Neurospora crassa OR74A: one gene and its partner. The protein of the gene in region 1 interacts with the protein of each later gene in a biochemical or structural test. Links are inferred from orthologs where the notes say so. Each region holds a gene or a part of one and is shown on either strand. Other genes may lie near its edges.

Region 1 (4,022 bases):
ATCTGTCTTGTTGAGTGGTTCCCAATCCACTGACGTGATGCTCTTTTGATAGCTGAAATGTTGGGAGCCAACCGCTTGGTACAGGCTTGAGTGAGCTAGGCTTTTCTGAAAGCATTCTTCATTAGCGCTGTCAGCATGACGATGTCTGCAGTCCCATGTGCTGAGGTACCATTTGCTCAGTCTGATAAAAGCGAATGCCTACAATGTTGGGGGACATGTAATGCGGTGGTGTGAGCGCTTGTCGGAAAGAAAGACAGCCAAGAAGGCAACATGAGAAATCGATCAATGGCAACATAAATCCGAGCAGGGAGAAAGAAATGGAGCACATCAAAGATGAAGGAACAGCCGACATCACTTCGCATCTCCAAACGAAGGACCTGTGTTTGGACAGGGGAAAGTATGTACATGCGAGATTTATTGGAACAATGTCTTGCGCCTTTTCCCTGCCTGTGTACAGTACACTTCACACCACAACTCCCTAATATGCACCAGGGCTAACAGAAAGCCCCATCCCTTGAATGCCATTTGCTCTTCCAGATAACACCGAATCGTGTAATACAGAACTCCATTCCAATGTACTTCCTTTACCCATGACCCCTTTGAACGCTGTTCCCTAAAAACACAACCCTACATACAACAAAATGTAGGTATGGGGAATTTGATGTGTCGAATATCATGTTTCCGAGTATCCTGAAAGCAAAGTGGGATGCTATGATATGCTTCAGGTGTGATAATGACAGTTTGTTTCTGTCACCGTTTCGGTGTGTCGACCTCACTCGCTACTGGTAGAATCACAAAGACTGTACCCTTGCCACGAACTGCCCACTTTGAAGTCACCGAGATCCAACCGAACCTAAGCAGCCGGCTGCAAAACTTGGATAGTCGATCTGCTATTGCCTAACGCTCCTGCTTCGACCTTGGCGAACGTCCCTAGGCGTATCTGCTGCTGTCGCGGTATTTGCTCTTTGGCTTGGGGTTGTAGTCTTCAAAGTAAGGGTGATTGCACGCTGCCTTGGCAGAGATTCGGCCAGCAGGGTCGTAGACAAGCATGGATTCAAGTAGCTCAAGACCGACATCGTCGAGGTTTTGGCAAAGTGGTACGTTGTAGTCGCGTACCCACTTGGGGAAAGATGCCTTGAAGTCGGGATAGGAGGTGACGCCGGGCCAGATGTCCTCAGTAGGGGTTCCAAGCAGACTGTTTGGAGGAAAAGAGGTCAGTATAGCGGACTAGGGGAGAAGCAGAAAGGTGCCAAGAAAAGGTAACTGCATAAACGTACCGGAAGATCTTGAAGATCTCGTCAATTTCCGAATCACCAGGGAACAAGGGCTTGCGTGTGCACATTTCGGCAAAGATGCAACCAACGGACCACATATCGACACCGGTCGAGTACTGACGACCACCCAGCAGGATTTCGGGCGCACGGTACCACAATGTGACGACCTCGTGGGTATAAGTACGGAGTGGAACACCAAAGGCGCGGGCGAGACCGAAATCTGCTAGCTTCAAGTTGCCGTCGCGGTCGATGAGCAGGTTCTGGGGCTTGAGATCGCGGTGTAGGACACGGTGGCTGTGGCAGTATCGGACGCCCTCGCAAAGCTGGCTCATGAACTTCTTGATGATATCCTCGCCCAGTCCCAAATTGTGCAGTCCGGCGCCCGTTCCTTCGGGGAGGGCCTTGCCCCTACCACCGTCGCTGACAGGAAGGGCCTCCATGTACTTCTTCAGATCAAGATCGAGGAATTCGAAGACAAGATACAGCTTATGGCCTTGACCGCCGTCGGCGTGGACAATGTTGAGGAGACGCACAATGTTGGGGTCGCGCATCTCCTTGAGCAGCGAGATCTCACGGATGGCGGTAGAGGGGACGCCCTCATCTTCGGCTTCGAGGCGGATCTTCTTGAGGGCGACAATGCGCCCGCTGTTAGCCAAGTCGCGGGCCTTGTAGACGACACCATACGTTCCTATGCGGAAGGTGGAATGTCAGTACGGGACATGGAAGGAAGAGAGCCAAGGTGGAGGGGTCGAAGAAGAAGGGGGTGTTGTACCCTCGCCAATCTTTTCCAGCTTCTGATAGTTCTCCATGGTTGCTCTGTTACCCGTCCAGGCCGCTATACTGAGATGGGTGGTTTGAAAGTCCCTGGAGGGAAAGAATTGACTTTGCCCGGAGTCGTAGAACTACTAGTTGGGGTTGGTGCCTGGTGTTCGTGGTCGTCGTGGTGGGGGACGATTACGACGAACGATGTTGTACCTAGCGCGCTGAAGCACAGTGATTGATGGAAAAGCCCAGAACGAAGCGTGGGGCGGCGGCGGCGGCGGCGGCGGATGGAGAAAGTGACGGCCGTCGAAGGGTCGCCTTCTTGAGATTGATTGATCCTTGGAGAGTCAAGGTCCAGCCAAGGATAGGTGGTGTCCAAAGGGAGCGCAGTGGCGGATTGGTAAACAAAAACGAAAAAAGGTGGAATCGTCCGTCGTTGCCGTCAAAAGGCTACAGTACTAGCTACCGTAAATACTTTGTTTTGGTGTTGACTTTTGGTGGTGATGATGGTGCCGTGAATGGTCGACGGGTCGTCCTGGGCGGAGGGCTGAATGCGAAAGGCCGCTGATGAAAAGGCAATATGATGCAGCGAGCGATGTAATTGTCGTCCGTTGTTCCTGCAACTTCTTGATACTAAGGGACCGTGATGGTGAAGGGACAGAAATCCAAGGAAGGAGAGGCGGTGGACGTGCAAGTGGAAGTTGAGGTTGTGAAGTTGTGGTTGTCGTTCGAGTGTCGGATTTAGAGGGCAGTCCAGGGGGGTGGTCCGCTGTACTGTAGTGCAGTAGGTAGGTTTTATTCCAGACGGGCATCCGAGTGCAGGTGGTTGGAGACGGGACGATTACGTCTTAGACTTGGCGCTTGCAACGGAAATCCGTGTCAACACAAAAAGCGCGGACCGCGACGGCACCATGGAAACCACTCACTGGAGGGACGGACTGCAAGGGAGGAATGAACGCGTCCAAAAAATGCCCGCTTTCCTCGTCGGTAGGTACTCCGAGTTCAAGGTAGGTAGGTAAACTTTCAAGCAATCTAGGTACATATGTACCACCTCTACCTAGTTCTAGTAAGTACTACTACTTGGAGCATTGACTGTACCCGACAGCCCACCAAGATGGGGCAGAATACGTAGGTACCTTCTAGGTAGCCACGATCTCTAACTGTTGACTACCCCTGACTTGTGGCGCCATTCAGAAGCTCCAGCCATTCAGACGCCCAGCCCAGCCTCAGCTCGACGCCCACACATCAATCCATCTCGACCATCCGTCCCGTCTGAAGCTTCACTCGAGTCCCCACAATTTCATCTCACGATACTTCCCTACTCCAAATCCGCAACGTCACACGAGGACTCGGAAGGAGTCAACTTGTATACTCATATCCATTTCTTCGGTCACTTTTCTGTTCTCTTTTTGGATATCTCGCTCAAAAGAACTACCCGACTTTCAAGATGATGGGTGGACACCATGACCTGGATGCGCACGAGCAGCCGTCGGATGAGCTGCGGCTCAAGTGGAAGTCGTTCGCCAAAGTCGACCAGAAAATCGTCATGAACAGCCCCGAGATCGATGACTTGCGCAGTCCCGAAAAAGCCCCCGAGTTTGTGCTCGCTGGCTCCATTCCTACCGAGACTTTGAACAGGTCCTTCAGCTATATCTGCCCCGAAGACTCACCAGAGTTCCGCACAGACAAGGACGCCCCCATCTATTACCATCCTCTCTTGCCTGGTGAACTCAAGATCCTGGACCCCTCTTCCTCACGAATCATTGCTGACCAACCCCAAAAGGTCTCTTGATTCTCCCAAACCTCATTCCCCCCGAGGTCCAAAAGACGCTACTGCGCAACATCATTCACCGCGATCTCAACCAACCCCATCACCAGACCAACATGCATCTCCATTTCAAGCTCCCCTACCCGCCCGTGGATCCCGAAACAGGCCTTCAGGAATCCTTCTTCTCCTACCCTCCAGATTCCGAGACGTGTTTTGAG
Region 2 (3,992 bases), on another chromosome or scaffold:
TAACATATACAAATGCGGCACGTAATCGCGTGCGGAAAGGTGTACCTGCGCTAACTGCGCGCGCAGTACATACTGTAGCCACCTGGGCTTGACAGCCCAGACGTTGTGGAACAGTGCACTGTAGAGTTCCTGGACTGGGCTCACCCGGCCCTTCCATGTATCGGGTCTCTGTGGCATGGCCCGACTGAGCGAGGCCCGGGCCCAAAATAGCAACGGAACGACACCCTCAAGGTTGATGAGATGCAGAAACCTAACAAACTGCCCTGATGATCCAGGGGTATCGACGGCCTCATGTAGGGATCTCAGAGGATGTCTTTCCAACCAACAACATCTGTTCCTATACAGTTTTGGACCTCCACAAGTGTGTTTCTCGCTCATACCTCTAGCTTGAGGACTTTTATTCTTTTGTCTTCAGATCATCTTGACCTCTTTTGGTTGGGATAGTGAGACGCAGGGATGATGATACTCGGATAGAACGGTGATGATTGGGCAAGGGATCATGAGCCAATCTTAATACCAGTTCGATGTGATTCCATCATATCAATCTGCCCCCACCAGGGGCAGTTTGGGAAGGTGGAGGATTAAGCCAAGTCATAGTTCCAGCCGCTATGCCTACTTATGCTATTGTATGGATGTACGCAGTACATAGTAATGTGGACATATATGGCGCCGCTGAATGTGCCACCAATGCATACGAAGATGACCTTTATCACCATTATGCGTATTGTTTCAGGTTGACCAGCGGCCTTTTCAGTGCTCAGTTGACAAGTTTCTATCATTGAGTTTCTTTCATCCTATTCTGTGCCGATTTGTGGTTCCATCACTTATATGAACCATCGGTTAGGTTCAGATGATGGATGTTTCGGATGGTGGATGGGAAAAAGAAAGAACGGAAGAAACCCGGACAGTCCCTGCGTCTTGACCACTAACAAATTCCCCGCCTGTGATTCAAGACATCAGGGGTGATGATGTGCCCAGCTAAGCCGCTTTCAGCGCATCGAGACCCCCTTTGCCGTGATGTTGAGGTCTCCCACCAGAAGGTGCAGCTGTTAAGAGAGTGCACGGTGCACCCTCCCGCGCCATGCTGGAGTTGCCCCTGCGATTGCCGAGCGTTGTTAGGTTCGCGTTCACACGGCAAGGAACCCCAACCTCACTCTCTCTCAAGTGATCTCTCATTCGGCTCATTCAACCACTTCACCTCAGTCCAGTCTCGCTGCAACTTCTGAATGGTCATCTGCCTCTGCCTCTCCTTTTCCCGAGCTTGTCTCTATAGCTGATAATTCGCGGGTGAGCCAGCCACCACCGGACAACGCTCCACCCGTCGTCGTTGCCATTGCTCCTTTTCTTTCCCAATCATCGCTCATAGAAGACCACCATTCATTTGCCGCCCGATCTCAAATCAACCTTCAATTTCGTCCGAGTGGGTAACTAAGCCCGTCCAAGACAGGCCCTCCAGTGCCCCACGCGCGCGCGCGCTTCCACCCCAAAGTTAGGTACCGCCAACGACCTGGGCCAAATCCACCAGACCCCTCGAACGGGAGAGTCCGTCCCTGACGAGCCCTGACGGTTTGACCAACGAACGGCATTTTGTTCTTCTCCTAGTTCAGCCTCGGCGTAGCTGTCTAAGTACTCTGGCACTTTTGGTAGTGAGCGAGCTGAGCGTCGCATACCTACCTACTCATCACCCCTCCTTGCCGTCAGCCAGGTCGCCAGTATACTGCCTCTACACTACACACTAGGTAGGTAACTACAGTACTCTATCTATACTTCCAACACGAGATCCAGAAGTCGAAGTCGACGACATCCTACACTACTACCTAGGTATTTCCAGGTTTCGCCGGCTACGCTACACGGACAGACGCGGGTACGGATATTTGCGCCCGCTCGTACATTTGCGACTTGACCCCTTTGACTTTCACTTGAGTTCCATTCCCTTCGAAGATCTGGATTGTATTGCCAACACGGTCTCGATGCAGTCTAGTTTGGGTCAGCACACATCCATACACATCTCGCCCGAGTGCGCTCATCCCACCAGCTAGCAGTGCTAGCAGCTAGCCTATCTCGAGGCCCGCCTCTGCGCAAAAGCTTGCCCGGGCACGGCTACCCTCCGAACTCCTCAACTTGACCTCATGCTAAAAACACCAATGGTTCATGCAGCAGGAAGGCCATGCTCACCAACCGTTATTGCCCGCAAAGAACATGATGCGATCCACCCAGGGCCTCAGACACCGAGTCCATTGACGGCATTTGCTCCGTATCCATTTCAACGCACTCATTTACCAATTGACCCACCCGCGCATTGATTGCCTATACAACTACCCACTCCGCGCCTCGAGACGAGACCCGACCCGGCCCGGCCCCTCGACACCCCTCGACGCCCCTCTACAGCGATCCAGATACCCACGATACCCGCTCGCCTATTGCTGAGGAACCACCCCCGAACAACACGTAGGCAGCTTGCGCTGCTGGGACTGTACTCTGGTGTACTGCCCTGCCGGTAGCGAAGCGGCCGCTTCACACATCCCGTCCCGCGCCATGTCCTCCCACGACAAGAATGGGAGGGCTACCTCCTCGAGCGGCAAGGCCTCCTCCTTCTTCTCGAGAGCCACTGGCAAGAACAAGGCCGACAAACGGAACGCAAGCGATGAGGGTGGCCGATACCTTGCCGCCGACAACGACGCCGCCAGCACCCATACCGCACGCAGTTCGCGCCATTACCGGGACTCGTCTGTAATATCGCTGGACCGTCCCGACACGCCCGAATCTGGCCTCAACATGACGGCAGGGGTCGTCACGACGATCCCCTATGACCCTGTTTCCCCCGACAATCGCTCCCCCGTCGCCCTCGACCACCTTCCCAGGCCCGACCAAATGCCCCTAAGGCGAGAGCTAGTACCGCACCACCTCAACAAAGGCACTGGTGACTTCCACCAGTATCCCACCATCGACCAAAGCCCAAGCTCCCCCTATAATGGGCAGTCACCCAGCGCATCAAGTTCGCGCTCAACTCTCGCTACTGCTAACATCACCATGGCCTCCACGGGCCGCCAGGCCCAGTTTCAGCAATGGGGACCACCGAGAGAGAGCAGTTTGCCCGGGTACAATTCCAGAGGCCACTCGTACATGACAACCCGCAGTTCGGGCGACAATGCCAGCATCTACTCAGGTAGGGACGGACACTACCAAGAAGCCCCAGGAACCAGCCATCGCTCATCCAGGATAGGACTCCCTAGTACTTCGTCTCAGTCATCCTACCTTTCTCCCCATGCCCATAAGGACAGAGATACCCAGCGGTTAACCAAGGTCGCTGCCGGCCACCAGGGCTCCGAAGGATTCAACTTTCCCAAGCCAGACGATGACAATGTGATTGAACAGATGTTCATAAACCTGATGCAAAAGCGAGGATGGCACAACCTCCCGGACCAGGCCAAGCGCCAGATGATCGCATACCCCGCCGCGAAGAAATGGACCTTGATTTACCAGGATCGACTCACCGAGTGGCAGGGCGAACAGAAGCGCAGACAGACGGCCAAGATTGGCCAATACAGCAATGTCGATATTACCCAATCCTCCGATGACGAAGGCAGCCCCGAGTGGTATGTGCGCAAGGTCATGGAAAACGCTCTGGACAGCAAAGGGCTCGGAGGACTCGAAGTCAACCTTCGGACACAGCAGATCGGCTGGGTCAAGCGCTTCATCGACTGTCAGGGACAGATCGCCTTGACCAATGTCCTGCTAAAGATGAACCGAAAGACTGCCTATGGACCTGCTCAGCCGGATAATGGAAGATTGGATAAGAATTTGGACCGAGAATATGACATTGTCAAATGTTTGAAGGCTCTTATGAACAACAAGTTTGGCGCAGACGATGCGCTAGCTCACCAACAGGTTATTGTGGCTCTGGCCACCTCCCTTATATCACCTCGGCTCACCACCCGGAAGCTTGTCAGCGAAGTCCTGACATTCCTCTGCCATTGGGGCGAAGGCAAGGG

What was found. The genes of interacting proteins can lie anywhere in the genome.
Region 2: of the proteins of cdc28 (region 1) and bni1, one has a biochemical effect on the other in vitro, tested with the Saccharomyces cerevisiae proteins (3 studies listed by BioGRID). The link is inferred for Neurospora crassa OR74A from reciprocal best matches to the Saccharomyces cerevisiae genes CDC28 and BNI1.

Annotation. Positions count from the first base shown.
Region 1 is NC_026506.1:1,088,741-1,092,762, forward strand, and holds cdc28 (cell division control protein 2), read right to left. Parts: upstream 2,801-4,022; 5' UTR 2,084-2,800; coding exon 2,047-2,083; intron 1,963-2,046; coding exon 1,278-1,962; intron 1,196-1,277; coding exon 931-1,195; 3' UTR 345-930; downstream 1-344. Other genes in the region: NCU09779 (oxidoreductase), read left to right, coding at 3,484-3,760, 3,820-4,022. UniProt on the Saccharomyces cerevisiae protein: Cyclin-dependent kinase that acts as a master regulator of the mitotic and meiotic cell cycles. Required to drive the G1-S transition. More than 200 substrates have been identified. Substrate specificity is in part regulated by the bound cyclin protein.
Region 2 is NC_026505.1:4,767,760-4,771,751, forward strand, and holds the start of bni1 (cytokinesis protein sepA), read left to right. Parts: upstream 1-1,192; 5' UTR 1,193-1,739; intron 1,740-2,157; 5' UTR 2,158-2,535; coding exon 2,536-3,992. UniProt on the Saccharomyces cerevisiae protein: Required for the assembly of F-actin structures, such as actin cables and stress fibers. Nucleates actin filaments. Binds to the barbed end of the actin filament and acts as a leaky capper, slowing both polymerization and depolymerization.